3 linked regions of the Diceros bicornis minor genome follow. The main gene of each other region encodes a partner of the protein of the gene in region 3 in a complex. Links are inferred from orthologs where the notes say so. Each region holds a gene or a part of one and is shown on either strand. Other genes may lie near its edges. The genes, in order: LAMTOR2, LAMTOR4 and FLCN.

Region 1 (9,833 bases), on a different chromosome or scaffold from region 3:
GGTGACAGGTGGCCTGCAGGAAGGTGGTGGGGATGGGAACAGACAGTGATGGAGCACAAAGGCTGGGCCCAGGACTGCAGAGGGATGGGCATGTACACACCTTGGCCTTGAGCATTCCGAAGCCAACAGTCTCCTTGGCATACATACACAGCAGAAGGTTGGCCACTCGGGTAATGGCTACACGGCCCTCCTGGTGGGGACAATATCATGGGATGTGATGTTCGGCTTGGCACCTTAGCCCCCTCTTTCCCCAAGGGCTCCTCTTGAGAGAGACTCTATCTTCCTCCCATGCCCTGGGCACACGCAGGAGCTTCAGCAGTGGGGCTTTGGCCACAGCCCTGGACATGGGGTCCTGAACCCCAATTCCAGCCTCAGCACAGGCACCTACTAACCAAGTTACGCTGGGAAACTCAATCTCCCAGGGACTCCGTTTCTCTTTCTGTAACCCCAACCTCACCCCAGCTGGTGAGGGCGCCAGTACACATGAAGGAGTCTTGTATCTGCAAAGGGCTGTCCAAATGGGTGAGATTATTATTATGGGTTCACCCCAAAACAATGTAAGGGGCTTGAGAGCAGTAACCCAACTTATGCTTCTCCTCTTTTCCCATGGTAATGCTTTTCAAACTGCAGGTCTGACCCCAGGGTTAGGAGATCAATTAAGAAGGTGATCAGCATTAAAAGAAAAAAGAAGAGAAATGAAGTGCATTGCATGTTGTAAGCCGAGACCTTTTTCGCAAAACTTTTGTTTTAGTGGGTATATATGTGCACTGGGCTCTGACTTAAAATGTACTTCCTTTGGCCCAGTTGTGATCAAAGCGTTTGAAAGCTATTGCCCTAAAGCACCAGCTCTAAGCTAGGCACCCAGGAGGAGTCATCAGTTGAACTGAAATGACATCCTTGGTTGCACAGGGGGTAAGGATGAGGTAGGCAGCTGAGTTACAGTGGAATTCCTTTCTGGAGAGTTCATTCTTGGGGCCTTTTTATTTTTATTTATTTATTTATTATTTTTTTGTGTGAGGAAGATCAGCCCTGAGCTAACATCTGTCAATCCTCCTCTTTTTGCTGAGGAAGACTGGCCCTGGGCTAACATCTGTGCCTGTCTTCCTCCACTTTATATGGGACACCGCCACAGCATGGCTTAACAAGCAGTGCCTCGGTGCGCGCTCGGATCCGAACCCCAGCCGCCAGCAGCGGAGCACGCGCACTTAACCACTAAGCCACGGGGCCGGCCCCTGTTGAGGCCTTTTTAATTTGGTTCAGCAAATTTTCACTAGGTATCCAGCGAGTGCTGGGAACCAGGTGCTACACTCTCTGCCTGTCTGGACTCTGCTCCTACTAACCTCCCCATGCCACTCTGATGCCACTCCAGCCACATCAACCTTGTTGATCCTTGACCAGGCAGCATTCTGCCTCAAGGCCTTTGCATCTGCTGTTCTCTCTGTCAGAAACGTTCTTCCTCCAGACAGCCACATGGCTTGCCAACTTCCTTCAGATCTGTGATGAAATGTCACCTTTGCAATGAGATTGTCCCTGACACACATCCGCCTCTATCTCACTTCCTTGCTTTATTTTTCTCCACAGCATTTTCAATACCTAACATACTACTTTTTTAACTTATATACATATTTTACTTATTTTGTAAAACATATTTACACACTTATTTTACAAAACATACATATTTTACTTATTTTAAAGCATGTCTAAGACTAAGTTTCATTATAAATAGTTTTTGTCTGTCCTGTTTGCTACTTTTCTCCAAGTCCCGAGAACATTGCAGGGACCTAAAAATTTGTTGACTGAACAGATACAAAGGTGAGTGAGACAGTTTCTGTTTCCAAGAAGTTCACAGCCTAATGGCCACTTCCCCTTTCTGGACTTCATCTGCTTTCTCTGTAAACTGAAGGGACTGGACTAGTGTCTGGAGACTGTGCCATTCTTCCCTGAGTCTGTGAATCTGGGATGACAACACTTTGTGTCTGTACATCATCCTACGGTTTATATCCACTCTTTCATTTGATCTTCACAACAACCCTGTGTGTATTGTTTCCCCCTTAGAGGTGTGCTAAGGAAGCTCAGAGAGGTTAAGTGACTTACCCAAGGTTCCACAAATGTTAGTGGCTGGCTGAGACCAGAACCCCAGTCAGACCTCGGGTCCAGGGCTCCTCCCTCACCACCACTTGATGCATAGGGTCCTGCCTATTATAAATGCTGCTGCAGACCAACTCTTAGTAATCTTCCAGAGATCCTGTCCCTGCCCCTCCAACCATCCAGGATGGGGTCCGGGTCGCCCCCTGGGAATCCCCTTCGAGGACAGAGGAAGTAGCTCCTCTCTCCATACCATGCAGTCCATGAGAATGAATTTGAGATTGTCTTCATTAAACGCTTGGTTCCCGTTCCGGTCATAGGCGGCCCAGATGTTACTGGCGATGGCTGCGGTAACCCGGGCGTCCGTATCCCCGTAACCGGAGTAGGCCAGAAGAGATCCCTCGTTATTCAGCAGCCTGGCAAGGGACGGGGAGGGATAGTGACATGCTCAAGATCGGAGTAAAATGCCTGAATTTCCGTCCCAACTCCCGCCACCGGCGCTTCCAGAAAGCAAGGGTCTGTGCTGAGGGTGTCCTGGGATATGCCCCGAGCACCCACCACGTCGGTTTCTCTTTTCGAGAGGAGCCATCCCGGCCTGTTGCCCTGCTCCTTCTGCCACCTCCTCCCTTCCCGGAGATCCTACCCTACCCCTCCCTTGGAGAGCCGCGCGCCGCCCCACTCCAGTGCTCGCGCTGGGGTCCTCAGTCCGCACTCACAGGGTGCTCTGGACACCTCCAGTGTTGGCTTGGCTTAGCACCTGGGTTAAAGCCTTGGGACGCAGCATGCCTGCGGCTCCTAACCTTGGGCTTTTGCACCCAAGATCCCGGAGTTGCCTCTTGCTGGCCTCTGCCTGCCGCTTCCCGTAGTCCAGCGGCCCTGCTCCGGAGCGTCCCGGGAGTTGTAGTTTCCTGGCCTGGCTTGTGTGGGTCTGACTCAACACCGCCCCACCGCGGGGGTCACCGGGAATTGTAGTTGCTTGCGGCCTCGCGAGGCACTCTGGGAACTATGGCTCGCCTTTCCAGTGAGACCACGCGGTTATGGGGGAAAAGAGCGGGAGTAAAAGGACAGTGGCAGTACTGGAAGGACATTTAACGCCCTCGGGGAGAGAAGAGTCATCATGTCTGCTTGACAATCCACGATTCAGTAATTAAAAAAAAAAATCCCGCTTTTTCTCAGGCCCACCTTTGGTTACTTTTCAAAGCTGTTTTCTACGTTTTGCGCGGTTCTGTGGGATGAGGAGAAAGATGCTATTGAGGAAATCAAGGTTCAGAAAGGCCATGTATGCAAAACCCAGGTCTCTGAAACCGTACTTAATAGGCTTCATTCAGGCCACGACCCTTGGGAGAATAGAGTCAATCCTAGAGATGAGATCTTAGGTGGACGTCCAGAAGTGGGAAAATCCAACCTCCAAGTCGGGAGAGGCCTCAGATCTGGAAAGGACTTGGGCTTCCCGAGAAAGACCAGTTATCACAGGGAACGGAGATAAAGCGACGATACAGAAAGTCCTTTGTCCCGGAGCAGGAGTTACCCGCGGAGGGGGCGGGGGCCGCTTTGGACCGAAGGGGACCTCAGCGCGGCTCGGGCCGGCTAGGATGGGCGGTGGTCTCTCGCGGGGAGCTCGCCCCCGCCCCCACAATGAAGGACTCTCCCGCCCCCGCCCCGAGCCCCTCCAGGGGCCACCCCCCAGCGAGGCCCTGTCCAGGCTGCCGGACCCCGGGCTCGGCCTAGGGCGGACCCCGCTGCAGTGCCCCCCCCGGTCCGCCCGGGGCGCTGTGGTTGCGGCGGGTCCGGAGGGGGCGACGAAGCCTTGGGGAAGGGAGGGGAGGGGAGAGGGGAGGGTTGGAGGCGCCGGAGCCGGGCCGGCCGGGCGGGCGGGGAGGAGGAGGAGGAGCCGGGGCGGGCTGGCGGGCGGCCGGGTGGCGGCGGCGGCATGGCGGAGCCGAGCGGGGCCGAGACGAGGCCCCCCATTCGGGTCACCGTCAAGACCCCCAAAGACAAGGAGGAAATTGTGATCTGCGATCGAGCCTCGGTCAAGGAGGTAATAAGGGTGGCGGGGGGGTGAGGGGAGCGCGAAGGAGGGGTCTGCGAAGAGAGGGGGTGGCTTAGAGACGGTCGGGTGTACCGGAGGGCCAGGGAGAGGAGGGCGGGGGCCCAGCAGGCGCTCGGAGGAGCGGGAGGGAAGCAGAGGAGGGTTGAGGGCGTCCTGCGAGGGTAATCTGGGGGAGCGTGGCGCGTGTTGGGGAAGGGAGGCCGGGGTTTGCCTTGTGGCCTGGGCTGGGGGCGTGGTGGAGTGTGGGGAGGAGACACCTTGCACGGGGAAGGGGGAAGGACCCTGGGTTTGAGGGTAGTGTGCGTCCCGGTTACTGGTCGGGGTTCGAGGCACCGAGGCAGAGTTGGGGCCGGGCGAGGGGCGCCGGCGGAGAGCTCCGGGCGCCTACTGTGTGCCCCAGAGAACGCCCCTGCCTTCTCTGACGCCTGGGCGGCGGGGGGCGGATTCCCTCTGCCCAGATCCTTCCTACTCTTTCCAATCAAGGTGGTTACATTTGGTTCTAAGCCCCTCTGGGATTTACAGTGTGCAGTAGGTGCTCAATAAAAATATGTTGAATGAGTGAATGAGGGAATATTGCCTGTGTTCCACCCCCCTGTGGCTTCTCCAGAATTTCACATAGGCGGGGCTTGAGATAGGCCATCTGGTTGGAAGGGAGGGATCTGGAAGCTCCCTTTGCTCAGCAAGTGCACTGTTTTTACTTAGAGTGTATGTTTTGTTTTGTTTTAGGAGGGGCTGATAGATTTGGGGAGTCTAACTCTCCCCAAGCCAGTCTTTTGTGCCATCGCTGCCCCCACCTTTAGAAAATGACTACAGTCCAGAATTTAAATACTTTTCCCTGCAAAACTGAATTTGTAATCAGCTCTAATTGAGAGGCAGTGTGTTTCGTTAAGAGCCTAGGATTTGGCATCAAGACCTGAGTTTCATTCTCCCCGGGGCAAGTTACCTAACTCCTCTGATCCTCAGTTTTCTCATCTTTAAAATGGAGATAATAATTAATATGTATTTCATGGGACTTAGACTCTTAACTCGTGAATAGTTAGTGATCTATTTGTTGTAGTTGTTACAAGAACGCTGCAAATAAAAGGAGGAGAGAAATTTGGAGTCTGAGAAGAGAATGCTGAAGGGAGACAAGGTGTGGGTCCAAGGCTGTTGAAGGAACTGGGATGCAGAGAGCTGCCCAAGGCAGTACCCTCACAGGGGACTGGTGGAGGGACTGAGGAGAGAGTGGCAGATAGCAGCAAGAGCTTTCTAGGGTGAGAGGCCCTGGGGTAGAGCTGAGAGGGGAGCCTCTCACTGGTCCATCTCCATGGTTAACAAAGGAGCTGCTTATTGCAGCTGGAGGGATGGAGTTGGGACTGCAGAAGGGACTTCCCAGGACTAGCGTTGGGAGCAAGGGCATGCAGAGGCTTTTGTTTTGTTTTGTTTTATAATTTTATTTATTTATTTTTCCCCCAAAGCCCCAGTAGATAGTTGTATGTCATAGCTGCACATCCTTCTAGTTGCTGTATGTGGGACGTGGCCTCAGCATGGCCAGATAAGCGGTGGGTCGGTGCACGCCCGGGATCCGAACCCCAGCCGGGATCCGAACCCCAGCCGCCAGCAGCGGAGTGCGCACACTTAACCGCTAAGCCACCGGGCTGGCCCCAGAGGCTTTTGAAGAAGAGGCAGGGTGACTGGTGGGTGGAGCCCAGGCATCCTCCATAGTGATCTCTGCCTCTTGATCACAGTTCAAAGAGGAAATCTCCAGGAGGTTTAAGGCTCAGCAGGATCAGCTGGTCCTGATCTTCGCAGGCAAGATCCTCAAGGATGGGGACACACTGAACCAGCATGGGATCAAAGATGGGCTCACTGTCCATCTGGTCATCAAAACCCCTCAGAAGTAAGTTCAGGAGAGGAGCAGGTCCAACTTCTGATTGGGCTTCTTTTCCCCATCTGATACTTTCTCACCTGTCACTCAACTGTACCTAGAGGGCCTATGCCACTGGCCTATGAAGGTGGCTTTTGGATGGATTGCTGGACAGCCCTGTGGTCTCCCTCCAGGGGAAGGAACCTGACGTACCTCTCCCAGAATGCCCTGAAGACAGAAGATACTAACTTCTCCCTCCCTCCCTCTGTCTGATTCACTGACTGTGTCCCTGGCATCACCCCACCCCCGCCTCAGGGTTGCAGAGGAGGTGGCTTAGGTCAGGGCAGTAGCTGCCCAGCAAACTCTAGATTGTTGTCTTCTCTCTTCTTGTGATCACTTCACCTAGGACTTGTCTTTCTCTGTCCTCAGGGCTCAAGATCCAGCTGCTGCCACTGCTTCTTCCCCCTCCACTCCAGACCCTGCCTCAGCACCCTCCACCACGCCTGCTTCACCCGCCACCCCTGCCCAGCCCTCCACCTCTGGCAGTGCCACTTCAGATGCTGGCAGTGGAAGCCGGAGGAGCAGTGGGGGGGGTCCCTCCCCAGGGGCTGGGGAGGGACCTCCCAGTGCTACTGCATCCATACTCTGTAAGCCCTTAGGGAGGAGGGCACAGTCCTGTTTTGGGCTGGGGAGTGGGAGAGAGCCAAGAGGAGCCAAAAACATGGTCCTTGTTCCTGGTCTGGTGGGGATAGGAGACCCCTGGACATAGAATTCCAGATATTGGTATTTGAGCCAAGTAGGGGAGGAAACCAGTCTGTGAGTGCTTCACTGAGGAGAGGAGCATGGCTAAATGTTGAGAGTGAAGGGAGAAATGGGGCTGGGGATGTGGGGAACCTTGGGTGAGGATATTGGAGTTTGGGGAAAAAGTGGGTCCAACCGTAGCCAGTTGGGGAATATTTATTTACTCATTCAACAGGCCATCACTGGTGCCCTCTCTGTGCTCAATACTCTGCCCGGCTCTCAGTCTCTGCCATCAAAGAGCTCTCAGTCTAGTAGGCTAACATCTCTTTCCAGCAGTGGATCAGGCCTGGGGCTGTGGGAATGATGTGAGAAGCAGAGGGGGCCTGTCCCAGAGACCTGAATTCAGTGGCTCTGGCCAGGTGGGGGAAGGGCTCTTGCAGCAGACTGTGACGCTGCCCCCTCCCCACAGCTGGCTTTGGGGGCATCCTGGGCCTGGGCAGCCTGGGCCTGGGCTCTGCCAACTTCATGGAACTGCAGCAGCAGATGCAGAGGCAGCTCATGTCCAATCCCGAGATGCTGTCACAGATCATGGAGAACCCCCTGGTCCAGGACATGATGTCTAACCCCGACCTGATGCGTCACATGATCATGGCCAACCCCCAGATGCAGCAGCTGATGGAGCGGAACCCCGAGATCAGCCACATGCTCAACAACCCCGAGCTCATGAGGCAGGTGGGTCTGAGAGAAGGTTGGAGGGGTGGGTGGTGGAGGACACCTGGCACCCAGCCTTGCCCTGCCTAGCATTTTCCCACCTTGTCCTAACTTGAACTGTTCATTCAGTCATTCAGCAGCTGTGTTTTGCACACTGGGGGTACAGTGATGGAAAGACACAGGCCTAGCTTTCCAGGAACTTATGGTCTCAAAGGGAAGTGGGACAAGTAAGCAGGCAATTATAATACAGCAGGATTGGTGCTATCATAGAGATAGTCACAGCATCCCCTAGGAGCACAGAAAAGGGCCCCTGACTCGACCCTGGGGCTCAGAGGAGGCCTCCTAGAGGAAGTGTCACCCAAGCTGAGACCCAAAGAAGGAAGAATGAGCCAGAGGAAGAAAAAGAGAAGAGTGTTCAGGGCCGAGGGACAACAAGTACAAAGGCTTGGGAGTAAAAGACAGTAGGATGTTCGGGGAGCATTGTGGCTGGGCAGGGCTGGGTGGGTGAGGGAGACCCAGGGGACGCAGTTCTGTGTTGGTCTTTGGGAGCTCCGTCTCGGCCCAATCCACGGGGAGACAAGGATAGACAGTCTCAGTAGAGCTAATGCTGGATTTACTAGAAGATAAGTTCCGTAAGAACAAGGATTTGCAAGTGTTTTGTTTACTGTCTAGAACAGTGCCTGGTACATAGCTGTCACTCAGTAAATACTTATCAAGGGGCCGGCCCCATGGCATAGTGGCTAAGTGCGCCCGCTCCGCTGCCGGCAGCCCGGGTTCGAATCCTGGGCGCGCACCGACGCACCGCTTGTCAGGCCATGCTGTGGTGGCGTCCCACATAAAGGAAGGAAGATGGGCATGGATGTTAGCTCAGGGCCAGTCTACCTGAGCAAAAAAAAAAAAGAAAAAAGAGGAGGATTGGCATGGATGTTAGCTCAGGGCTGATCTTCCTCACAAAAGAAAAAAAAAACTTATTGAGTGAATGAATCGGGATAAGAGATCAGAGTCTTGTCTTAGACGTAAAGGTGTCTTAGAAGAGGGAAGTGTGGAGCAAATTTGGGAAGAAGGACAGGGGAAGCATTCCAGGTTGCATGAGGACAAGAAGTAGCTGTGCCCATTTTTTCTATCATGCACTGCTGTCTGTCCCCTGGAGTTGACACAGGCCACCCCTAATTGAGAGTGAGCCATTAGCTCCAAAAAGAAAGCCCCCATCCTCACTGTTTCTCAAGATTCAGTCAGGCCAAGACCTGGGGGGCGGTGTTGAGAGTGTCAGTAGCATTGTCCCAGCTTGAATCCTTTCCCTCCCCGACTGTGGTCATTTACCAGGCTCCACAGTATGGCCTTGATCAGACAGACCAACCTGGCCTTGAAACCTGGCTCCTCCACTAACTGGCTGTGTGTCCCCCAGGCTGTGAGTCTCTGAGCTTATTTTCTCATCTGCAGAGTAGTGACAGAAATACCTCCTGGGGATGGTTGTTATGGGGATTAAATGACTTGAATTCTGTAAATTGCTTAGTCCAGTGCCTGTGTGTAGTATATGTAGTTTGTAGATGTTAATTTTCTCTTCTGCCTCCTCCCCTTTTTTGTGTCTTTTCTTACTCAATTTCCTTGTGCTCCCTGACACTTCTGAGGACCCCCTGAACCTGAGGGAGCGAAGCTTCTGCCCTCACCCCATCTGGGATCATTGTTCTCCACTAGAAAAAGCCAACCAGAATACCCACAAGGACGCAGGGTTGGAGCCAAGATGAGGGACAGTAGAGAAAGGAAGCCCAGTTCAACCTACTCCCTGCCACTGTGGGGCAGTTCCTGGGCCCTGGGCCCTGGTCCTGATGCAGACCCCTTCCTCAGGGCCCACGCATTTCCAAGCTTGGTGCTCCCCTGGTTCCAGGGCCCATTCTGTCTCTCTCCCTTCTCCACTAGACAATGGAGCTTGCTCGGAATCCAGCCATGATGCAGGAGATGATGCGGAACCAGGACCGGGCCCTGAGCAACCTGGAGAGCATCCCCGGAGGGTATAATGCCCTCCGCCGCATGTACACAGACATCCAGGAGCCCATGTTCAGTGCTGCCCGGGAACAGGTGGGGCCAGGGATGGGGGCAGTGGGAGGGCTGTCTGGGCTCGGGATTCCCTTCCCCCAGACCCAGGCAAGCCTGGGGTGCTGTCCGCTCCTCTTTCCTTCCCCAGCCCCCTAAGGGAAGACCTTGGCTTGAGAGCAATTCTCACAGTGCATAGCCAGGGATGGTCCAACTTGGCATGGGACTGAGGCACTAGGGCAAAAGACGGCAGAGTTCCTCAGGGAAGTGGGCGAGGTGTAGTGTCCAAGGAATTTGACTGTTGTTCTGACAGATTTCTTGCACCAGGGGCTCAAAGGTTGTGAGGCAGATCTGGGGTCAAACAGCCGA
Region 2 (9,422 bases), on a different chromosome or scaffold from region 3:
TCCCTTGCCCCCTGCCTCGTACCCTGGTTCTAAGTTTACAAAGTGTTTTCCTCATTCCTATTAAGTTGTCTTTCCCGCCTCTGACATTCCTTCCTGCCCACCCACCTGCAGGGCCGAGATTAGAGGGTGGTGATGGTAAAGGGACCCTGACAATGACAATGACCCTCCTGCTCAAGGGTCAGGGGAGATAGCTAGGTGGCCTCCTCCTGCCCTTCATGTTTACGTTTGCAGCCTGAAGCACTTTAAGTTGTGTGGGGTTTTGGGGGTTTTTTTGTCTGTCTATTCCTGTAAGTTATTCTTCAATGACTGCTTCCAACTGAAATAAGACTATTAAACGCCTGTTCAGGAGGGAGAAGGACTGTTGTTTGTGTGTTGGTGGCAGGAGAGACCCAGGGGCTCAGAATGATCCCTTCAGCATGCACACCACATAACTCCCCTCAGCTCCTTCCCACCCTTTTTTTTTTTGATTCCTAGTTTTATATGCCCAGAGGTGGCCTTGCCCTACCCCTCTGGGCTGAGGTACACAACTGTCTCTCCAGGTGGCAGACAGACTTGGGGCGTAACACCCACCCCTCATACACATATCCCTGGGCCCAGGAACATCAGACTCACGTTTATTAGGAGGAAGGGAGGGAAGAGGAAGGTCCCCTTGCCCTCATTCTCTTTAACATAGTGCAACATAGAGTCCCAAGCCTCTGCCCTTCCAGGTAGGGCTGAGGAAGTGGGTGACAGAAAGCCTTAGTTCTAGCAGGCAGCCAAGAAAGAGGTGGAGGAGGTCTGCGTCTTCCTCATCACAGAGGCTCAGGGACCCAGTCCACCTCTGCCCCTCACCCTCTGGCAGGCTCAGACGTCAATGGGCTCCCGGCCTCGGTTCTGCCTCTTCACCACAAACACCCTCTGTCCTGATATGGTCACCAGCAGCGTGTGTTCTCCAAAGACCACTGGAGGGGAGACACACCTTCCCCCGCCCGGGGAGAGGGAAGGGAGCACAGAGTTAGGGGGGTGTGGTGGTCTCTATGGGGTCACACACAAACTGGTGGGGATCAAAGTCCAAGAGATTCGGGGCCGGCCTGGTGGCACAAGTGGTTAAGTGTACGTACTCCCCTGCGGCAGCCCAGGGTTCGCTTGTTCGGATCCTGGGCGTGCACTGACGCACCGCTTGTCAAGCCATGCCATGGCGGCATCTCATATAAAGTAGAGGAAGATGGGTATGGATGTTAGCCCAGGGCCAGTCTTCCTCAGCAAAAAAAAAGGAGGATTGGCAGATGATAGCTCAGAGCCGATCTTCCTCACACACACAAAAAAAAGTCCAAGAGATTCAACAGTTCCAGGCTCAGAGATTTGAGGATGGGAGGTCTCCATGAAATCCCCTTCCTTCTCTTGCTTTCTCATAATTCTGATGCAGGAGTGAATCCCAAGGGGAAGTAAGTAGCCAAAAACAGCGACCCCAGGGGGAGATGGTGGGAGGTTGGTAGGAGACAGGTGTTGCTTCCCTGAGAAGAGAAGCCCCTGGGAGCACGCCCCCTCCCCCCCCCCCCGCCCCCACACCACCACCACCAGGGGCAGGGGCTGGGACTCACCAGACAGGCGCTTGAAGGGTACATTCATGCCGTGGTGCAGCCGGAAACCGCAGGCCGTGCTGACCAGCTCAGAGATGGCACTGGCTGCCTGCTCGTCATTCTCTAGATCCCCAGATGACTGCAGGCAGACAGAGGAAGGAGGATGGCAGAAATTAGGGGACAGAATTGGGAAAGAATTCCGGGAACAGTCACTTTGGCTCTAGCACCTGTAATCTCTCCCTATCTACTTTCTAATACCCCCAGGTCACCCTCAGTTTTGGAAAAACAAACCTAAAACTTTCCTATGATGTTGTTGCCCACCTTGTTGCCACCCTGTTTCTCATCCTTATAATACTGGGCTTCCCCCGAGAAGCAGTGACTCTTCATCCATTTCCTTACTGACCATTCTTTCCTAGTCCCTTGAAACTTGATATGTCTCCCTGTCCCCACTTATTTGATAAAGCCACATTCTCAAACATCAGTGCCTACCCACCACTGACTTGTTCAAGGCCCCCTCTTTTCCTCAGTCTTCCACTTGTTGCTCTGTCTGCAGAATCTGAAACATAAACAGCCCCTTTGTCCTTGAACGCCTCCCTACTACCTAACCCTTGGGTAGTGATGTGACAGTGGCCTGGGCTTCCTCTCTTCTGGTGACTGTCTCAACTTCCTCCTCAATATGTGCCTCCCACTACCCACTAGGTTAAGTTCAGTGCCCTTTGTTCTCCTGGACATTCTGTACCTCAGTTTCTTCATTTGTAAATTGGGGACAACAGTACCTACCTTATGGGCTCATTGTGAGGGTTATGTAAGATAATATTGGCAAGATGCTTAGAACAGCTCCTAGCAATATATCTTATTATTCTATATCAAACTCAGTGTCTCAAGTTAAGCCATCAAAATTCCCCTTACCTCTCCCCCTCTGCAATCAACTTCCTTTCTTAATTTCCAATTGGTTAAGGCACCATCATTCTAGGCTTGAATTCCAAGTATTACTGGATGGAGAAGTATCTTGTCTGTTACCCATCTTTAGTCATTACCGAGATATATTGATTCCTTTAAAATCTCTCCTTGCTCCTTCTCATTGCCACCAGCTCTGTTTCATCCCTAAATTTCAGTAGCAGCATCCCTGCTTCCGAATCCTGCCCCTCCTGGCCCATCTTCAGACCTGATAGAACAGTCTCACTCAATCACTTCATCAGCTCATGTTTCTGTTCAAAAACCCTTCAAAGCTCCTATTACCCTCAAGATTAATCCAAATGTGTTAACCCAGCCTTGACAGTCCTCCACAATCAGATCCTCCCTTACCACAGCCTCTTCTTCCCCGCAAATCTTTTCAACATATACCCAGCGCCAATTTAGACAGGCTGGTACCACACTCCCACAAATGTGTCCACCTCCCAGCCTTGAATACTCGCCTTCTTTTCTGCCTGTTCACAACCATCCATCCTTTAAGCCCAGCTGAATTCTTACCTCTTCCAAGAAAGTTTCCTTGCCCAAACACAAGTTATAACATGAAGGGTTGAATCCTTCATTTTCTGGACTCCATCAGTAGCCTTAACCACCTGCATTGCTTTCAACTTTTAAGCTTTAGCCTTGTCTCTCTAGCCAGATTGAAAACTTCTAGAGAGCTATCACTATATTGTACTATGGAACAAAATACAAAGCCTCTTCAACAAATACCACATAAAGACATACTCGAGAATAACTCGGGTAACAGCAGCTATCAACAAACCTGTAACTAGTGGGCTGACTTTGGTAAAGTTAGTAAACCTCTTTTACCTCAGAACAGTTATGAGACTAAGATTCCAGAGATTTAATTCCTGAAAGCTTACTATATGGCAAGGCACGATACCAGGAAAAGATCGAGAGACAAATTAGGTCAAACGGGGCAACGCTGGAAGAGATCACCGGGCCATGTGTACCTGGGGGACCCCGCCTCCCTTTCCCAGAACGCACCGCCAGCACTGCGCCTTCACTCAGCACCAGATAGCCGACCTGGTCTGGGATTCGCTCCAGCCCCTGGGTCAGTGCAGAAGTCTAGTGGGTAAAGATGAATCAGTGAGAAGCATGCTGGGAGGATGGTCCTTGGCAAACCCAAGTGTCTCTTGACAATGGCCCCCCAGGCTTCTTTCCCCACCCAAGGCCCTTCCAGACCCTCTTCCCTCTACATGGCCTTCAACACTGATCTTCCTGAGCCTCCTTCTGTCCTCACTCTGCCCCTGGACCCGCCCCCCGCAAACCCGCAACCCCGCGGCCTTCCACATCCCACCGTTGCTACCCCACTGGTCCCTCCTCACAGCCCCCTCTCCAATTCCCCTTATGGCCCGCCCCTCCCCCGCAGACTACTCGCCAGGCCCCCGTACACCCTCCCACAGATCTCTCCTCAGCCCTCTACGTCGCCACCCCTCTCATCTCCCTTCCCTGTCTGTCCTGGGCAGTGACGAGGTGAGGGCAGAGTGGGGACCTAGAAGGGGGCAAACAAAGAGACTGGGGAACAGCGACGCAAAACCCCCGGTACGTACTCCCGCGCATGCGTCCTCACTCACCATCGCAGCCTTTGGTACCGGGGCCGCTCCCTACCAGATCGGTAGCTTCCGGCTCCAGACCCAGGTCACGTGCTTCCACCCGCCGTTCTCCTCCTCCAGCCTTGCGCCCCCAGACTTTAGCCCCGCCCCCAGAATGCGGATTGGATTGTGGCTACGTCATCAGACTTAATCTGCCAGTGCAGAGCGCCGCTTCCTGGAGATGCGCGCGGATTGGTCGCAGACTCTCTTTAAGACTCATCTCCCCGCCCTTCAGGCCCAGAGGGCGAGGTGTCGGCGGAGGGGACGGCCTGGAGGGGCGGGGTCGGAGAGAGGGGCGTGGGCTGAGGGTGTGCCCCAGCGCGCGCAGGGGGTGGTGGGTACGGGTTCTACCCCTGCGGGATTGCCCACGAGTAGGACTGCAAGAATAGAGAGAAGTGACGTGAAATGTGTGTGAAAAGCTGTTGAAATACTACTCTTTTGCCTGTTCCAGGCAGCTAAGAGGGGGATTTGTTCAGAAGTGGTTTTTCGTCCAGGGATTCTGTGAGGGACGGGGTGATGGTGAATTGAGTCCCCCGCTAGCCGAGGCAGCTGCAATACTGAATACCGTCTGCCGGGAAAAATTAGAAACAGTAACTTGGAGTCATTATTTAATATCTGAGTGTAACATAGAAATTTTTTGTTTTAATTTAGTTTATAGACCTGCTGCAATACTGATGTGACTGAGGCAGTATTGGTGAGGTAAAATGAAGGATGATTCTAGAAATAAAACAATTAGTACTTGTTGGCAAGGACGTGGAGAAATTGGAGCCCTCGTACGTGGCTGCTGGGGATGTAAAATGGTGCAGCTGCTGTGGAAAACAGATCAGCGATTCCTCCAAAAGTTAAATATAGGGTTTATCTATGACCTACCAATTCCACCCCTAAACATATACCTAAGAGAATTGAAAACATATGATAACACAAAAACTTGTGCACAAATGTTTATAGCAGCATTATTGATAATAGCCCTGAAATGGAAACAACCCACATATCCATAAACTGAAGAATAGATAAGTAAAATGTGGCATATCCATATAATGGCATATTATCCAGCCATAAAAAGGAATGAAGTTCTGACATGCTACAACATGGATAAACCTTGAAAATATTATGCCAAATGAAAAAAATCAGACACACAAGGCCACATGTTATGTGACTCCATTTATGTGAAATGCTAGACTAGGCAAATCAATAGAGACAAAAAGCAGATTAGTGGTTGCTAGGGGCTGGGGGAGGGGGAAATGGAGAGTGACTGCTAATAGATATGGGGTTTCTTTTGGGGGTGATGAAAATGTTCTGGAATTATATAGTGATGATGGTTGCACAATGCTGTGTATGTAATAAAAACCACAGAATTGTACACTTTGAAATGTTGAATTTTACAGTATGTGTATTATATCGCAAAAAAATAAGTACTGTTGGTTGAGGAGAAAGCTAATTAGAAAAGATGGATACCTTTTTTTAAATGAGGTATGCTTATAATATAAACTTTAAATTGGAGGAGGATTTAGAGAGAGAAAGTTCTGTGGAGATGCATAATTAGCAAAGCTTCCCCAGGCCTTAGATATTGATGGCACTTTGTAGTATCATTTTCTTTGCGCTTACTGTTCAGAGCATTTTCATTCATACACTCACCTAACTCTCTCATTAACCACTCTATAATAGTATCCCCATTTTGCACATGGAGAAGTGGCAACAAAAAAATTTGAGCCTCGCTCACAAGCACACAGCTGGCAAGCAGCAGAGCCAGAATCCAGTCTAAGTCTGCTCATGCTGAGGCTGCTGCTTTTTCCATTGCTCCATCGGCCAACTACGTTTATTATTTTTTTTAAGTTACAGTTAATTTTACCTCAGAAATTCCCTGTTCTCATTTTTCTTGACACAGAGGAGCCCTTAGCAGGACAATGCTCATCAGCCATCGTTAGAATTGCTTCATTTTGACAAACAGCTTGCATCACACTACTGCTGTGGAGAGCGAAGTTGCTCATTCTTTTGTTCAACTAGTGTTTATTGAGCACCTTTTAGGTACCAGACACTCTTCCTGGAATTGGAGGTACAGCACTGAATAAAAACAAGACGTATTTTTTAATTGTTTTCAAGGAGCTGTGAGGGAGAGGGTGAGCCAGATAATAAATAAATAAGAAAATAAATGTTAAGTGGTGAGAAGTGCTATGAAGAAAAATAAAGCAGAGTTCCATTTACATCAAGTTCAAAAACATGAAAAACAAAATAATTTATATAATAATTATATATTGTATAATATATTAATATAATGTTATTTAATATATTATTGTTATATATTGTATATTAATAAAGTATTACTTAGTGCTTTATCTATGTATCTATATCTGTATCTATCCATATATAGTCATGCATTGCTTAAGAGTGGGAATAGTTTCTGAGAAATTAATTGTTAGGTGATTTCCTTGTTGTGCGAACATCATAGAGCGCACTTACACAAACCTATGTGGTATAGCCTACTACTCACCTAGGCTATATGGTACTAATCTTATGGGACCACTGTCGTAGATCTGGTCTGTCGTTGACCAGATCGTTGTTATGTGGTACATGACTGTGTCTCAAAATAATAAAGATTAAGAGAATGATAAATAAAATTTTGAATAATGGTTACTTCTGAGATAGAGAGGGGGATGGGATAGAGAGACACAAAGGGTTTTAAAGTATTGATAATTGCTATAGGTACACTGAATATTTGTCCCCGCCCCTAAATTCATATATTGACCCTAATCCCTAATTTGATGGTATTTGGAGGTGGGGACTTTGGGAAGTGCTTAGGCCATGAGAGTGGAGCTCTCATGAATGGAATTAATGCCCTTATAAAATAGACCCCAGGGACCCCTCACCTTCCACCTTGTGAGGACGCAGCACAGAAGGCTATCTGTGAACCAGGAAGTAGGCCTTCACCAGACACCGAATCTGCCAGTGCCTTCATCTTGGACTTCCCAGCCTCCAGAACTGTGAGAAATAAATGTTTGTATTTATAAATCACCCAGTCGATAGTACATTGTTATAGCAGCCTGAATGGACTATGGCAGTAATATTCTGTTTATTAAGTTCTAAGTCTCTCTGTCTCTCCCTCTCTCTGTGTACATACATACACACTTATTTTAATACATGAAAGATTTAATAATTAAAAAAACAAAGTAGGTCTTATGACCCAGCAACTTCACCCCAAGGCATATACCCAACAGAAATATGTACGTATGTTCACTCAAAGACATGTACTGCGATGTTCATAAAAGCTTTATTCCTAATAACTCAAAATTGGAAGCTACCCAGATACCCATCAATGGTTGAATGGATAAATAAATTGTGTCACACTCACACAAAGGAACACTATAGAGCAATGAGAATGAATTAACTAAAAGTACACACAATGGCATGAATGAATCACGCAAACTTGATGTTGAGTGAAGAAGTCAATTACAAAAGAGTACATTCTGTGTGATTCCATTTATGTGGAGTAAAAAAGCAGTACACTGTTAGAAATTGGGATAGTGGTTATCCATGAGGGAAGGGTTGAGAGTGGACAAGAGGAGTGCTTCTGGGGGCTGGTAATAATGTTTCCTGATCTGGATGCTGGTGTCGCGTGTGCGTTCAGTTTGTGAAAATTTAGTGAGCTGTACATTTATGACATGAGAACTTTTCCTGTATATATATTATACTTGAGTAAAAAGTTAAAAAACACAGTCGAGTGAGAGGATATAGAAGGTCAGGGTGGTGGTGGGTGTGCTATTTTATATCAAATGGGCAGGATCAACCTCTCTGATGAAGCAACAACTGAACAGAGACCTGAGGGAGTGAGCTGTGTGGGTGTCTACATGCCCAGAGTAAGAATATTCTCAAGAGTGCTCGTTGAGCTTATTTTAGACTATGAGTTCCCTGAAGATAAGCACCTGGTCCCCCTTTGAAATGCTGGTGTCGACCTCAGCACCTAGCACGTTGCTAACCTACAAGTTGAGTACTTTTTTTCTATATTGTCCCAGCTGCTCCCAGAACTTCTTTCTGGTTTTTAGAGACTTTTTCTTTGGCCTCATGGTCTCTAACTCTGCTCTTTCCCCTTCCACGGTACTTTCTTCTTTTGAAAAGGAGGGAACAAATCCTGAGATGTGAAATAATGTGTTTGGATCCATCCCAGTGGCAGAGTTGGCCTCCTCACTCCTGTCCAAGCCATTTCCAAACGACCTCAACACTCCCTCTCTCTGCCTCGCAGAGCCTCCTGACTGGAAACCACACAGTCCTTTATTCACCCCCAGCTCAACCCCTCCCAACACACACACCTTGTCCCACCAGGATCTTAAGGGACCTACATCTCTAGTGTACCACTTACTACACTTCACTGCAACTCTTTGTTTGCCCGCCAACTCACTTACAACCTGAGCAGCCTGGGAATCAGGGTGTGATGTCTTCAACATTTTATTTCCAAAGCGCCTGACTATTACCCCTATCGTCTTCGAAAAGTGCCGGTTGAATGGATGTGTCAGGGTTAAGAGAACCAAGAAAGGTAGAGAAGCAGTTGGGAAGTCTGTTGATGGCTCTTTGATAGGGTAATAATTTGTTCTAGGAAAATAAGAAAGAAGGAAGTTGTGTGTGAGAGGCAAGGAGGTCTAGTTCCAAAGCAAACAATAAAATTTTTAAAAAATCTGGATTGAAAAGAAGAAGGATGCTAAGGGGGGTGGTGAAGACACAAAACCAACAGAAACTAGCCATAAGTTAACCACTGTATTATTCAGGGTCCTCCAGAGAATGAGGGATAGAGAGCGGGAGAAATTTTAAGGAATTAGCTCATGCAATTGTGGGGGCTGGCAAGTCCAAAATCTGTAGGGTAGGCCAGCAGGCTGGAAATTCAGGGAAGAGTTGATGTTGCATTCTTGTGTCTGAATTCCGCAGGCTGGAACTCAGGCAGGGTTTCTATGTTATTATAGCCTTGAGAAGAATTCCTTCTTCTCCGGGAAACCTCAGTCTTTTTTCTTAAGACCTTCAACAGATTGGCTGAGGCCTGCCCACATTATGGAGGATAATCTGCTTTATTCAAAATTAAATATTCATCATATCTAAAAAATACCTTCACAGTGTAAGGGAGGCAAAATTTTATCTCTGCCCTCTTAGGGTTTTCAGCTGGGTCTGAGAATTAAATTGATATAAGTGTCTTGACATGAGTACAGCCATGTTTGGCCGCTCCATTGACCTACAGCCACCAGCACAAAAAGAAATACAAAGCTGCTTTCTGTGTGGTGGGAACTGGCCTTTTCCCGGGAACTGGCCTTTCTCCCATGGA
Region 3 (10,362 bases):
GTCAGACATCCTCTGTCCTCATCACCTACTAGGCAGGCACGGGCATAACCACAGCCTGGCCAGTCAGAGGTGCCTGCCTGGGACGCTGAACCCAGAGGAGGGAGGCCAAGTGCAGACAGTATGAACACGCACAGTGGGGGCAGGGAGTCCCCTGGGGGAGTGTGTCCCGGGTACAGCATCCTCAACAACCTGCTCATGGCCTGTCCCTCAATGTGCCCTCTGAGCAGCCTCCCTGCTGGCGGCTGTGCTCAGAGCCCGCTTCTCTAGCCTGCCCACTCACTCTGCCACCCACCTGAAGTTTTGCAATCAACCTCTCAGCTGACATGGCTGCCGCTGCACCTGTCCTCGTCCCTGAGGCAGGAGCTGGAGCTGGAGTGGTTACAGAGGGAATGGCAGAAGCCGACACAAACCAGACATTGGAAGAGAAAGTCAGCTGGGCCGACAGTGAGTCAGGCATGAGGATCAGACGGGAGGACCTGAGGGGTGCTGGCAGGTATGGAGAGCCAGGTATTGGGCTGTTCCTGGAGAGACGTGGGCAGCGGCAGAGGAGACAGAGTTTAAGAGACAGGAGAACATTTGGCTGGAAAGCCTTGCGAGTTCCATGGAGATTCTGGTCTGCAGTATCAGAGAGGGCAGGGCTGGGGGTAAGGTCTGGAACCCCTCCCAGACCTTCACTGGATTCACTCCTCCTGACCATTCAGCCTCTCCCTGCATGTCCCCTGCTCAGAAAGGCCCCCCTAATCAGCCCACCCAGAAGAGCCACTCACCTCCACCCCCAACACTCTCTCCCCTTCCCTGGCTTTACTGTACTGGAATGAACGTTCCCTGAGGGGTAGACTTTGTCTAGTCTACAACAGTTCCCGACACACAGTAGGCACCAAATTAATAAGTGTTGGATAATGAGTGAATAAAGGAGCTGCTCACAGAGAGAAGACAGCTGTCACAGAAGGTGGAGAGCTCATTGAGGGTATCTACGGGCAGGAGAGGTTCAAAAGCACAACCATGGAGAACGCAAGAGTCAGAGAGCCTAGTGTCACGGAATCAAAGAAACTGAATTTAAATAAAGGGTCCACAAGGCTCACTATGGTGTGCTCAAGGAACACGGTTTACAAATCCATTATGGAAGACGGGGTGATGCGACCACTGACGGAAGAAGGACCTCAGAAGACGAGGAATCGGGGCCCAGAGTCCAGGCAGAAGTGTTGACCCTGGAAACGGAGGCCATGGCTTCCTTCCAGAGGCATAAAAGGGAAGAGAAAGAGAAATAGGTTTCCTTCTAGAAAGACAGCCACGTGCAAGCAGCACCTGGCCAAGGCTCACCCCATCTGCAGAGCGTCCATACAAACCTTCACACCTAGCAGAATCACACGTCCACCACGCCGCCTAGGCCAGAGCACACAAGGCCATTTCCAAATGAGTCAGGCAGGGCAACCGCAGTCAGACTTCAGCTCTAAGACCCGACGTTCTCTAGGTGAGAAAAGAAAGCAGAGCTAATTCTAACAGCCATGGGCCTCGTGGTGTGAAAAAATTCAAGCAGCTTACAGCCAACCTTAAATCAGAACATCACCACAGAGGATGTGGGGATTCCCGCGGTTCTGAACCGCGTAGCAGGCCTCCCACCTTCTGAGCAGCAGCTGACAGCAAGTCGACACTGCAGCCCAAGCCTCAGCTGAAGTTTTACACCTCTACAGCAACGTTTCATACACGGTCTCCTGAAACACATTTACATGTTAAGTGTCTCTGTAAGACATACAATATTAAAAAACATAAAGTCCTCACCCTTCCAACTCTTGGTTATAAAGGGGCCGCTCTGGCAGCACCCACTTCACGCCAATGTAACCCCTCAGACCGAGGGCCTACAAGTTTTCCTCCTCAAATGAGAGGACCAGAGTGATGCTGCTAAGCTACTTCCAGCATCCAGGACCAACTTGGGCTACTCTTATTTTTTCTTTGGTTTTACAACAAAAGCACTCCTGCCTGACAAGAGTTCTGACTGTTTGGATCATGAGAGCCGCAGCCACTGGAAGGCAGTGAGACAACACGAGATAGATCACACTTAGCTGTGCAATCACACAAACCTACTGGGTCAGAAAAGCACCCGTCTCCAGCCCTTGCCAGCCAGGTGATGTCAAATATGTTACTTCATCTCTCTCAGCACCACCCTAAAGCTGAGAAACAGGCCAAACCTCCCTCTCAGAGATAACCACTACACATGGAATCAGAATTCTGTGTAGCAGGAGATTGGTCCCTTATTCACTCCCCAATTCCAATCTCTACCAGATGTTTGCTGAAAAAAACAATCTGGTTTGAGTATGCCTAACAGTTCTTCCTTTCCAACAAATGTTCTAGAATCCAAAGAAGAAAAAATCTTCCCCTGCCCAACTGTCTCTTCAACATTATACTCCAAGCAAGCATTCACCTACCTCAAAGAGCTGGGTCCTTGCCCACGAACATTATCTCCCTCCCACAGTGGCTGAGCCCCCCGACCGGGACAGTGACATCCAAATTATCCTCCCACTCCTGTGATGCGCCCGGATCTGTGTCATCCCCACTGCCCACGGTCTTCTCACAGGACCACGGATGATTCGAGATGCCGCTAAGTGGAACACGTGGCAATAAACTCGGTACTGTAATGGCTGTTAACCCGCGGTGCACATCAGAGCCCCGGCAGCTGCTTGAACGAGCCACCCGCAGGGGAGCCTCCTGCAGTGGGCGGCGGGGGGGGGGGGGGGGGGGGGGCAGCAAGCGCAGGAGGAAAGCGCCGCAGGGGGTTACTTCCAGCTCAGACCGCTCACGTGGTGCCTCTACTGTTTCCACCGACCTCACCTGGACTTCTGCTTACAGAGCTCACTGACCGGAGGACATTCAAAGAGCAGTGTCACGTGCCGCTATTACGCAATTCCTTGATGACAGCGCTGTAACCTAGTGCCTCCAGCACTTTCTCTGCTGTGGCAAAGAGACCCCTGCCACCCTGGATGGACACCATGGGTGGTGCCAGCTGTCCAAGGGCTGGAGAACCAGCACCTCCTTTCCGCAAGCTCCTCCTTGCCCTCCGCCTCCGATGGCTGCTGATGACCACCCTGGACCTCCACCCGCAGCGAGCCAATCCCTGGGCTAAACTCTTTCCAGGTGACAAGGATGCGTCTGACAGTCCCCAGCAGCCGGAGAAACGTCTCTCCTCCCCGGAGGACACTGATCTGGGCCTGCGGCTCCTCGAGTGCCCCTCAGAACGCTGGCCGGGAGAAGAGGAATTACGACCCTAAACCCGAGGGCAGGCAAAGAGCGGGCGGGAGGCAGGCCGAGCGCGCCTCACGGCCTCACGGGAGGAGGAGAGGCCGGCGACGCTGGCCAGGCCACCTTCGAGTTAACGGCTCCGCCACGCCCACCCCTCCCGCCTCAGGGCCTCGGTGCCCCTCCGCTCTGGCCCTCGCCACCCGGCGCTAACCAGCCCGCCTCGCACCGAGGCAAACCGCGGCGCGCCCCTCGGCTACCCGGAAGGCCGCCAGGCTGCCCCGCCCCTCAGGCCCCGACCTCTCCGCCCCCGGACTCGGATCCAGCGGCCCCCGCGGCCCCGCCGGCCTTTCCCCAGGCCCCCACGCCTCCACGGAGTACCCGACAGCCCCGCCTCGGGCTCGCGGGTCGACCCCGCCGCCTGGCCCCGGCCCGGCCCCGCCCCGCCCCGCCCCGCCCCGGACCGCACTCGGGCGGCGCACACCTCACCTCGGGCTCGGCGGCCCGGAACCGCCCGCGCCCCCGAGCCCCCGGCCGCCGCGCTCACCCGGGTCCCGCCGCCGCGCCCGCCGGGACGAGGCGCGTGACCCGGCCGGGCCGTACCATCGCCGCTCCGCGGGGGCGCCCCAGACCGCGAGGCGAGCGGAGCCGCGCCCGCGGCCGCACGCCAGAGGCGACTGCGCGAGCGGGCGACTCCGGGGCAGGGCTGGCAGCCGAAGGGCGTCCGCGCCGCCCTCGCCCGCCGCCCCGTCGGCGCCCCCACCGGGAGCTGCGGAATGGGGGAGCTGCGGAATGGTTCAGGCCGCCCCAGCTGGGGCCACTGGACGAAACCACTTCAAGAGGGGGGATGCTTAAATTAAAAAAAAATTTTTTTAAAGAGATTTGAGGAAAAACATAGCCAGCCAGGACTCCCGGTCCACACCGAAGAGGAAAAGAGAGAGAACGTCTTGACGTTATAAAGAGCGCTACAGTTTCTTTTTGTTTCATCGTAGGTTTTTATTAAATTGCCGATGGGCCCGGTCCGCGGTGGGACGTGCCGGCAGGAGGCGGGGCCTGTGCCCGAGGCGGGGCGGGAGTGCGCTGGTGCCTGACCTCCCCCACCCCCGCCCGCTCACCAACGCGAGCGGTATGTCCAAGTTTTTAAAATATGTCAGTAAGTAACAATGCTTTGAAAACCCTGGCGCCTGTTATTCAGTCTGTCTACTTAAAAGTTGACCTTAAAGCCGTCAGTGCATGACGTAATGTGGGTCCTTAGAGTGAGGAGCTGGAGAGAGGACAGAGACCCTGAACCGCAGGAAGCTGGGCTTGACCCGTGAGGCGGTGCTGCCACCTCGTGTCGGCGCGATCCGCAGGCCCTGGCCCCGCCGTGGGCTCCTCACCGCGGAGCGCCGGGCGCCGTGTCCACACTGCTGGTCGCGAAGCGCCGGCAGAACGCTCGGCCATCCTCCAGTGGACGCGCGCGGTTTTGTTTTTTAAGTCACCTAGGTCACTTCCTTCTCTCTCTCTGAAGTTCCGTGTTGTGAAGAGGGGGCGTGAGGACAGGACGAACTGCAGTTTGTTTTCTGCCGTCTTGTACTGCGGCGGTCAAGACCAAGGAGTATGGGGGCCAGCTAGGAGGTTAGGCGTCGCCGTCATGTGTTTAATTATTCTTACCAATCCAATTCCTCCTGACCCTGGACAGCACAGACAGGGTGGTGGCCAGTAAGTACGGGATAATTTCTGCAGAAACAACAATAAAAAACCCACAAGGGTATACTGATTTGGAATTCTATTTTTACTTTTGTCATCAACAGTTCAGAAACTTGAATTGTACTGAGGTTGCAAAATACTCTGAAAGCCTTAAAGGAAAGGTGCAAGAAAGTGTCTGCAGCCTCCTTGTGTGGCTGTGCCTTTCCAATTCCTAAAAGAAAACATTTCCACGTTGTCCAGGTGAACAGGATTCACCCTGAAAATGGCCACCACAGCAATTCTGAACGCGAATCTGATTAACTGAGTTCCACACTAATAAAAAAGAACTTACAAAACTTTCTGAAATTTTCAGTTACCATGACTGTTTTCATTTAACAAGAAGATTAGTTTTTTTTTTTTTTTAATCCACTTGTGTATACTATTGCTTCAATCAGGAAGACAGGAATATTTTTTTCTTTTCCGTTTTTTTTTTTGGTAATCTTGTTTTTTCCCATTTTCTCTTAGTGGTAGGTGGTGTTGAAACTAACATTGGTTAGTCAGGTTTTAAGATAAGAAAAAACTATATTTTTTTCATCTTGTAACTTTAATTCCAGGAATTAACTGCCTCTGTTTGTTAGTGGAGGCTGCTACCTTGCTCAGATTATCCTTATTTCTGTAATGATAGGCTAATGAAGGTCACAAGTGGAGGAAGGTTTATTCAACCTCTGCCATTTTCAGTACAATCCAGTGTGCATTCGACTGCAGCTGGACTCCATGTATGTCATTTATATCTTTCCCAGCACCGCTGGCTTCAGCCACCTAGCTCTTTTGGAGGTACTTTCTCAAATAAACCTATAAATCTGTTTAAAAGCAGCAACTACATGCCAGTTCCTTGCCTCAGTGAATTGTACCAAAGGTTAATTACACTGGGCTCTCTCAGAGTATAATTTTCAAGGACATTCAACAAAAGAGACATCTTAGAAGTCAGAAAATGTACCCCACATTATCAGTGAAAAAGCAAAACTGGCAACAACACCTAACAACGCTCAACCAAATGAAATACTGTGCTAAACTCAAAGCTTCTATCTGTAATAGGAACTTTATGAAATGTTACCAAAAGCCTTGGATATACTAGTGCCTGGCATTTACAGTCCAGAACATGTTTTTTCACCACGGAAATGGGCTCGATCAGAAATAAAGATTTCTTGACGCTTGTCTGTCTGCCTACCACTAAACTAAGAGGCTTAATTGAAAGGTATTGACAGCTGAGCGTCCAGACTGACAGAGTGAAGTGAAGTAAAATCAAGTCTCGCTGTGAAATTTCTCGCAGAGGTTTTTAGGTGTACCCTTAACAAGGTAGGCTGTCATGTAGCTAGAGACGACAGTTGGGCTTTATCTTTGAGTCAAACCACCATGTCCCTGAATCAGTTTTCAGTTTCAGGAAGAAGGGGTATGTTTCATTTGTAAGCAGTTGGAGCTAATATTTTTAATCACATCTGATTATTTTAAGGGTAGTATAATAGATTTCCTGTTATAAAAATAATTAATAATCTAAGCTTTCCTTTCTTCTAACAACCAAGACAACATCCCCTGTGTTTAACAATTTGGGAATCTGGCCAGCTGCTGAAAGGCAGCCAACAATGGGTAGAGTTTCTCACGTACAACCTCTAAGTCAACTTAAGGTTTTAGGTTATTAGACTATCAACTCTGCAGATAAGGTGTCCAGCCAGTTGCAAGGCAAGAACTATTAGTAGTCCAATATTTTCTCTAAAAAAAAAAGAAAACCACTAGTGTTAATTTAGCATTTTTTACCATAGCACTTTCAGAAAGCTTTTAAAAATTAACCCCCTCCCCCAGTGAGAATTCAGCTGATTGGCTTTTTGTGTTTTAATCTAATAGCTGCTTGTTAAACACCAAGTGGTTTCTTTTTAGTCTCATAATAAACTTTAACAGTTCATTATGGATCTAGGCTTATTAAATGCATTTTACAATTAAAGTTCTCTGGTCTCAACTTTTTTTTTTTTTTTAATTTTATTTATTTTTTCTTCCCCCAAAGCCCCAGTAGATAGTTGTATGTCATAGCTGCACATCCTTCTAGTTGCTGCATGTGGGACGCGGCCTCAGCATGGCCGGAGAAGCGGTGCATCGGTGCAGCGGAGCTCGCGCACTTAACCGCTAAGCCACGGGACCATGGTCTCAACTTTCGATTTCAGGAAAGGAGACAGATAGGATTTTGTCTTTGTTTACCATCATTAAATAATTCAGCTACCTAAAAAAAGTAGCCATCACATTTTCCTCTTCATAAATATCTGATTTACCCAGTCATTTATTTTCTCTGGGCCCTTTGCAACCACTCAGACTTATGTGCAAACAACATTTTCTTCTACAAGTTCACTACCATTTCAAGTTGCAACCCAGAAACTTAGGACTTAAACCTAAAACTGCATCTTTGAAAAGCAAGTAACAGGAGAGAATTAATATGCAACTTGACCGTTGGCATAGAAAGAGGAGGGAACTTGAACAAGGTAGGTCCACCAGTGAACACCAACAGTTCAGCACACCTGAAAACCTAAGACTTAACTTCCCCTCTGCTAAATTGTTTGCTAGAAAAGTAAAAGTATTTGTCCCTGATTAGATTACACAGGCATGATTGTATTGCTAAGGCTAGTGGGTATCTTTCACAGTAATGTTCTATCACCCAGTTTTGTTTGGGATTTCAATTTACTAAACACGGTCAAGAAGGTGCCATCCATACAGGCATACAGGGCAGAAAAATGCCACTGCTTTATTGCCAGTTAGTACCATTCATTGGCTCAGAAAACATCGACTGCCATTTCAAAAACATGCAACCAGATGTTTCTTTAAAGAATACCTTTTACCACTATATCCCAAACTGGAGATTTCTCAGATCAAGCATACATATTTAAGAAAACCTATATTAAAAGTTACACATTGTCCCTTTGGGTAGTTCACTTGTACCAATATGAATAAAAACACATATGTAATTCAGTGCTGACTTCTGAGGGCACTTATCCTCGTTAATCTGGAGTATTTATTAACATTTGAGATTACCATGAAAAGACAAACTTGAAAAGTCCTCAGAGAACTGATAGGTCCACTAATGAACACCAACCCAAGGCTACATCCTTGGACCTCAGCAACTGCCCTAATTCCCTAGGTGCAAATCACCATCTTCTGGCACCATCAAAATGCTATAGGTTTTCATAAATAGACATTTGCCCAAAATAATTTGCTGCTGAGAATTAACTCAAAGAAACAGCTAAGTCTATATTCAAGCAAACAGATTCAGTAAGCAGACTATTCAGCAAACAGATTTTGATAAGTACTCAAAAACAAGACACAGGCATAGCCAGGCAACATATTTTCAGAGGCAGCATGTGCAAAGTCTTATATTCTCTTCTTAGTGACAAACAAGGTCACGAAACTCCTCGACCCTGTAAGATTTTCAAAAGTAACTCCTGTCAAGTGAGACAAACCACTCGCCAGTTTCTTGAACAGAAACAATTTAATAGATCCAGTAACCAGGTATTGGAGAAGGGAAAAAAGTTTCACCACTGTAGTAACTGCAGGAAGCAGATACCCCCCTTAGGGCTGGGGGAACAAAGGGAAGAGACTGGGTCCCCAACCTGTGTGGGGAGGTAGGGGAGGCCTGCCGCCTGGGGCCAGTATCTCTGAGGAGGTGCGATGAGGCTGATTCTAGGAGCGTGGGAAACACGTGGGGCTCGCTGCTGCTGCTGAACCGTCCTTGCCAGGGTGAGGGCTGTTGCTGGGGTCTGACTCTTCAACAGGACACAGAGAGGAAGGAGCCTGTCTCTTTCCTCCCTAGCCTTCTAGTCTGCCTCCTGCTGGCAAAAAAAAAATGTGGATTGCAGACTGCTAGCCCCAGAATCAGAAAGAATATATAAAGGTGGGTGTAAAGCTGAGAGATAGCAACAACTAGCACTCCCCTTCCTACACTGACACAAGAGGGACGAGGATGCGTGGTCGGCAAACAGTAGGACCTCTTTTTGTGCTTGAGGAAGATTGGCCCTGAGCTAACACCTGTGCCAGTCTTCCTCTATTTGTATGTGGGTTGCCACCACAGCATGGCTGATGAGTGGTACAGGTACGCGCCCAGGACCTGAACCTGTGAAGCGGGACCCTAAATACCATACCCCTTTTTGAGGTCAAAGTTTCAAAATAATGTGTTTTAATGAATCCATTTTGGGAAAAAACTAAGTGTCCACTTCATTAGAATTCCACAAGAGAGTTACTCTTTTTTTTTTTTTTTTTTGGTGAGGAAGATTGTCCCTGAGCTAACATCTGTGCCAATCCTCCTCTATTTTGTTTGTGGGACGCCGCCACAGCATGGCTTTATGAGTGATGAAGGTCCATGCCTGGGATCCGAACCCACGAACCTGGGCCACTGAAGTGGAGCACGTGAACTTAACCACTACACCACCGGGCCGGCCCCAAGTTACTCTTTAAATAGCCAAGACTGGCAGCTACTAGGATTCTCAAACACATTTTAGGTGATTTTAATTCAGATCCAGGTAAATCAGAAGTTGTCCAATTTGTTTTCTTTTTTTTAAAGTATAATTCGCTACACTGACAAAAGGAACATTTCCATTAAATATTTTCTTTCTTACACAGGAATGTGTAAGCCTAAGTGAAAATGTGCAGCCCACAGCAGTACTAATTTGAGCTGGAGAATTTGACGGTTTAAATGAGGGGCCAAATCCCAAGCTCTACCTATTTTTTTATCAATTTTTTTGGAACACAGCCACAGCCACTCACTGATGTATCAGATCACCTGTGGCTGCTTTCCTACAGTGAAGCAGAGCAGTTATCACAATAGGCCACAGGACCCCCAAAGCCTCTCTATTAGGGGCAACTTTTTACTGTGACTCATGAGGTTTCAGTTTGCTTTATGTAAATAATGAAAATGTGATCGACTACACAAGTTGACACACTTTAAAAAATTGAATATTGCTGGTGAGAGAGAAACATTTTTTAAAGTTTTGTTTGCTGAGGAAGATTTTCCCTGAGCTAACATCTGTTGCCAATCCTCCTGTTTTTGCTTGAGGAAGACTGGCCCTGAGCTAACATCTGTGCCAGTCTTCCTCTATTTTGAATGTGGGTTGCCACCACAGCAAGGCCACTGACAGACGAGTGGTGTAGTTCCGTGCCTGAGATCCGAACCCGGGCCCCCGAAGTGAAGCACGCTGAGCCTAACCACCAAGCCATGGGGCTGGCCCCGAGAGAGAAATATTGTTTAAGGACTAAATTCTAGTTTAATCTGACCACTTTGCAAAGGCTCCTCACCATTCTGGGGCTCAATCAGTAAACTCTAGTCAGAGGCATTGCAGACTTCTGTAGAAGAGGCACTCTGAACATAATTAAAATGCAGCTATGCAGTTTAACTGAAAATGCTTCTAAAAGAAAAAGCAGCAAAATCAGGCA

What was found.
Region 1: FLCN (region 3) and LAMTOR2 share a complex: the UniProt entries of both Homo sapiens proteins name them as parts of the lysosomal folliculin complex. The link is inferred for Diceros bicornis minor from reciprocal best matches to the Homo sapiens genes FLCN and LAMTOR2.
Region 2: FLCN (region 3) and LAMTOR4 share a complex: the UniProt entries of both Homo sapiens proteins name them as parts of the lysosomal folliculin complex. The link is inferred for Diceros bicornis minor from reciprocal best matches to the Homo sapiens genes FLCN and LAMTOR4.

What each region holds. Positions count from the first base shown.
Region 1 is NC_080743.1:59,699,916-59,709,748, reverse strand, and holds the start of LAMTOR2 (ragulator complex protein LAMTOR2), read right to left. Parts: upstream 3,001-9,833; 5' UTR 2,870-3,000; coding exon 2,802-2,869; intron 2,502-2,801; coding exon 2,339-2,501; intron 191-2,338; coding exon 101-190; intron 1-100. Other genes in the region: UBQLN4 (ubiquilin-4), read left to right, coding at 4,016-4,123, 5,863-6,014, 6,411-6,628, 7,192-7,454, 9,351-9,509. UniProt on the Homo sapiens protein: As part of the Ragulator complex it is involved in amino acid sensing and activation of mTORC1, a signaling complex promoting cell growth in response to growth factors, energy levels, and amino acids.
Region 2 is NC_080765.1:5,493,671-5,503,092, forward strand, and holds LAMTOR4 (ragulator complex protein LAMTOR4), read right to left. Parts: upstream 4,158-9,422; 5' UTR 4,109-4,157; coding exon 4,082-4,108; intron 3,597-4,081; coding exon 3,516-3,596; intron 1,699-3,515; coding exon 1,581-1,698; intron 942-1,580; coding exon 844-941; 3' UTR 594-843; downstream 1-593. UniProt on the Homo sapiens protein: As part of the Ragulator complex it is involved in amino acid sensing and activation of mTORC1, a signaling complex promoting cell growth in response to growth factors, energy levels, and amino acids.
Region 3 is NC_080757.1:737,127-747,488, forward strand, and holds the start of FLCN (folliculin), read right to left. Parts: upstream 3,883-10,362; 5' UTR 3,779-3,882; exon of another isoform or gene 3,721-3,778; intron 2,720-3,720; exon of another isoform or gene 1,621-2,719; intron 1,468-1,620; 5' UTR 1,347-1,467; intron 1-1,346. UniProt on the Homo sapiens protein: Multi-functional protein, involved in both the cellular response to amino acid availability and in the regulation of glycolysis.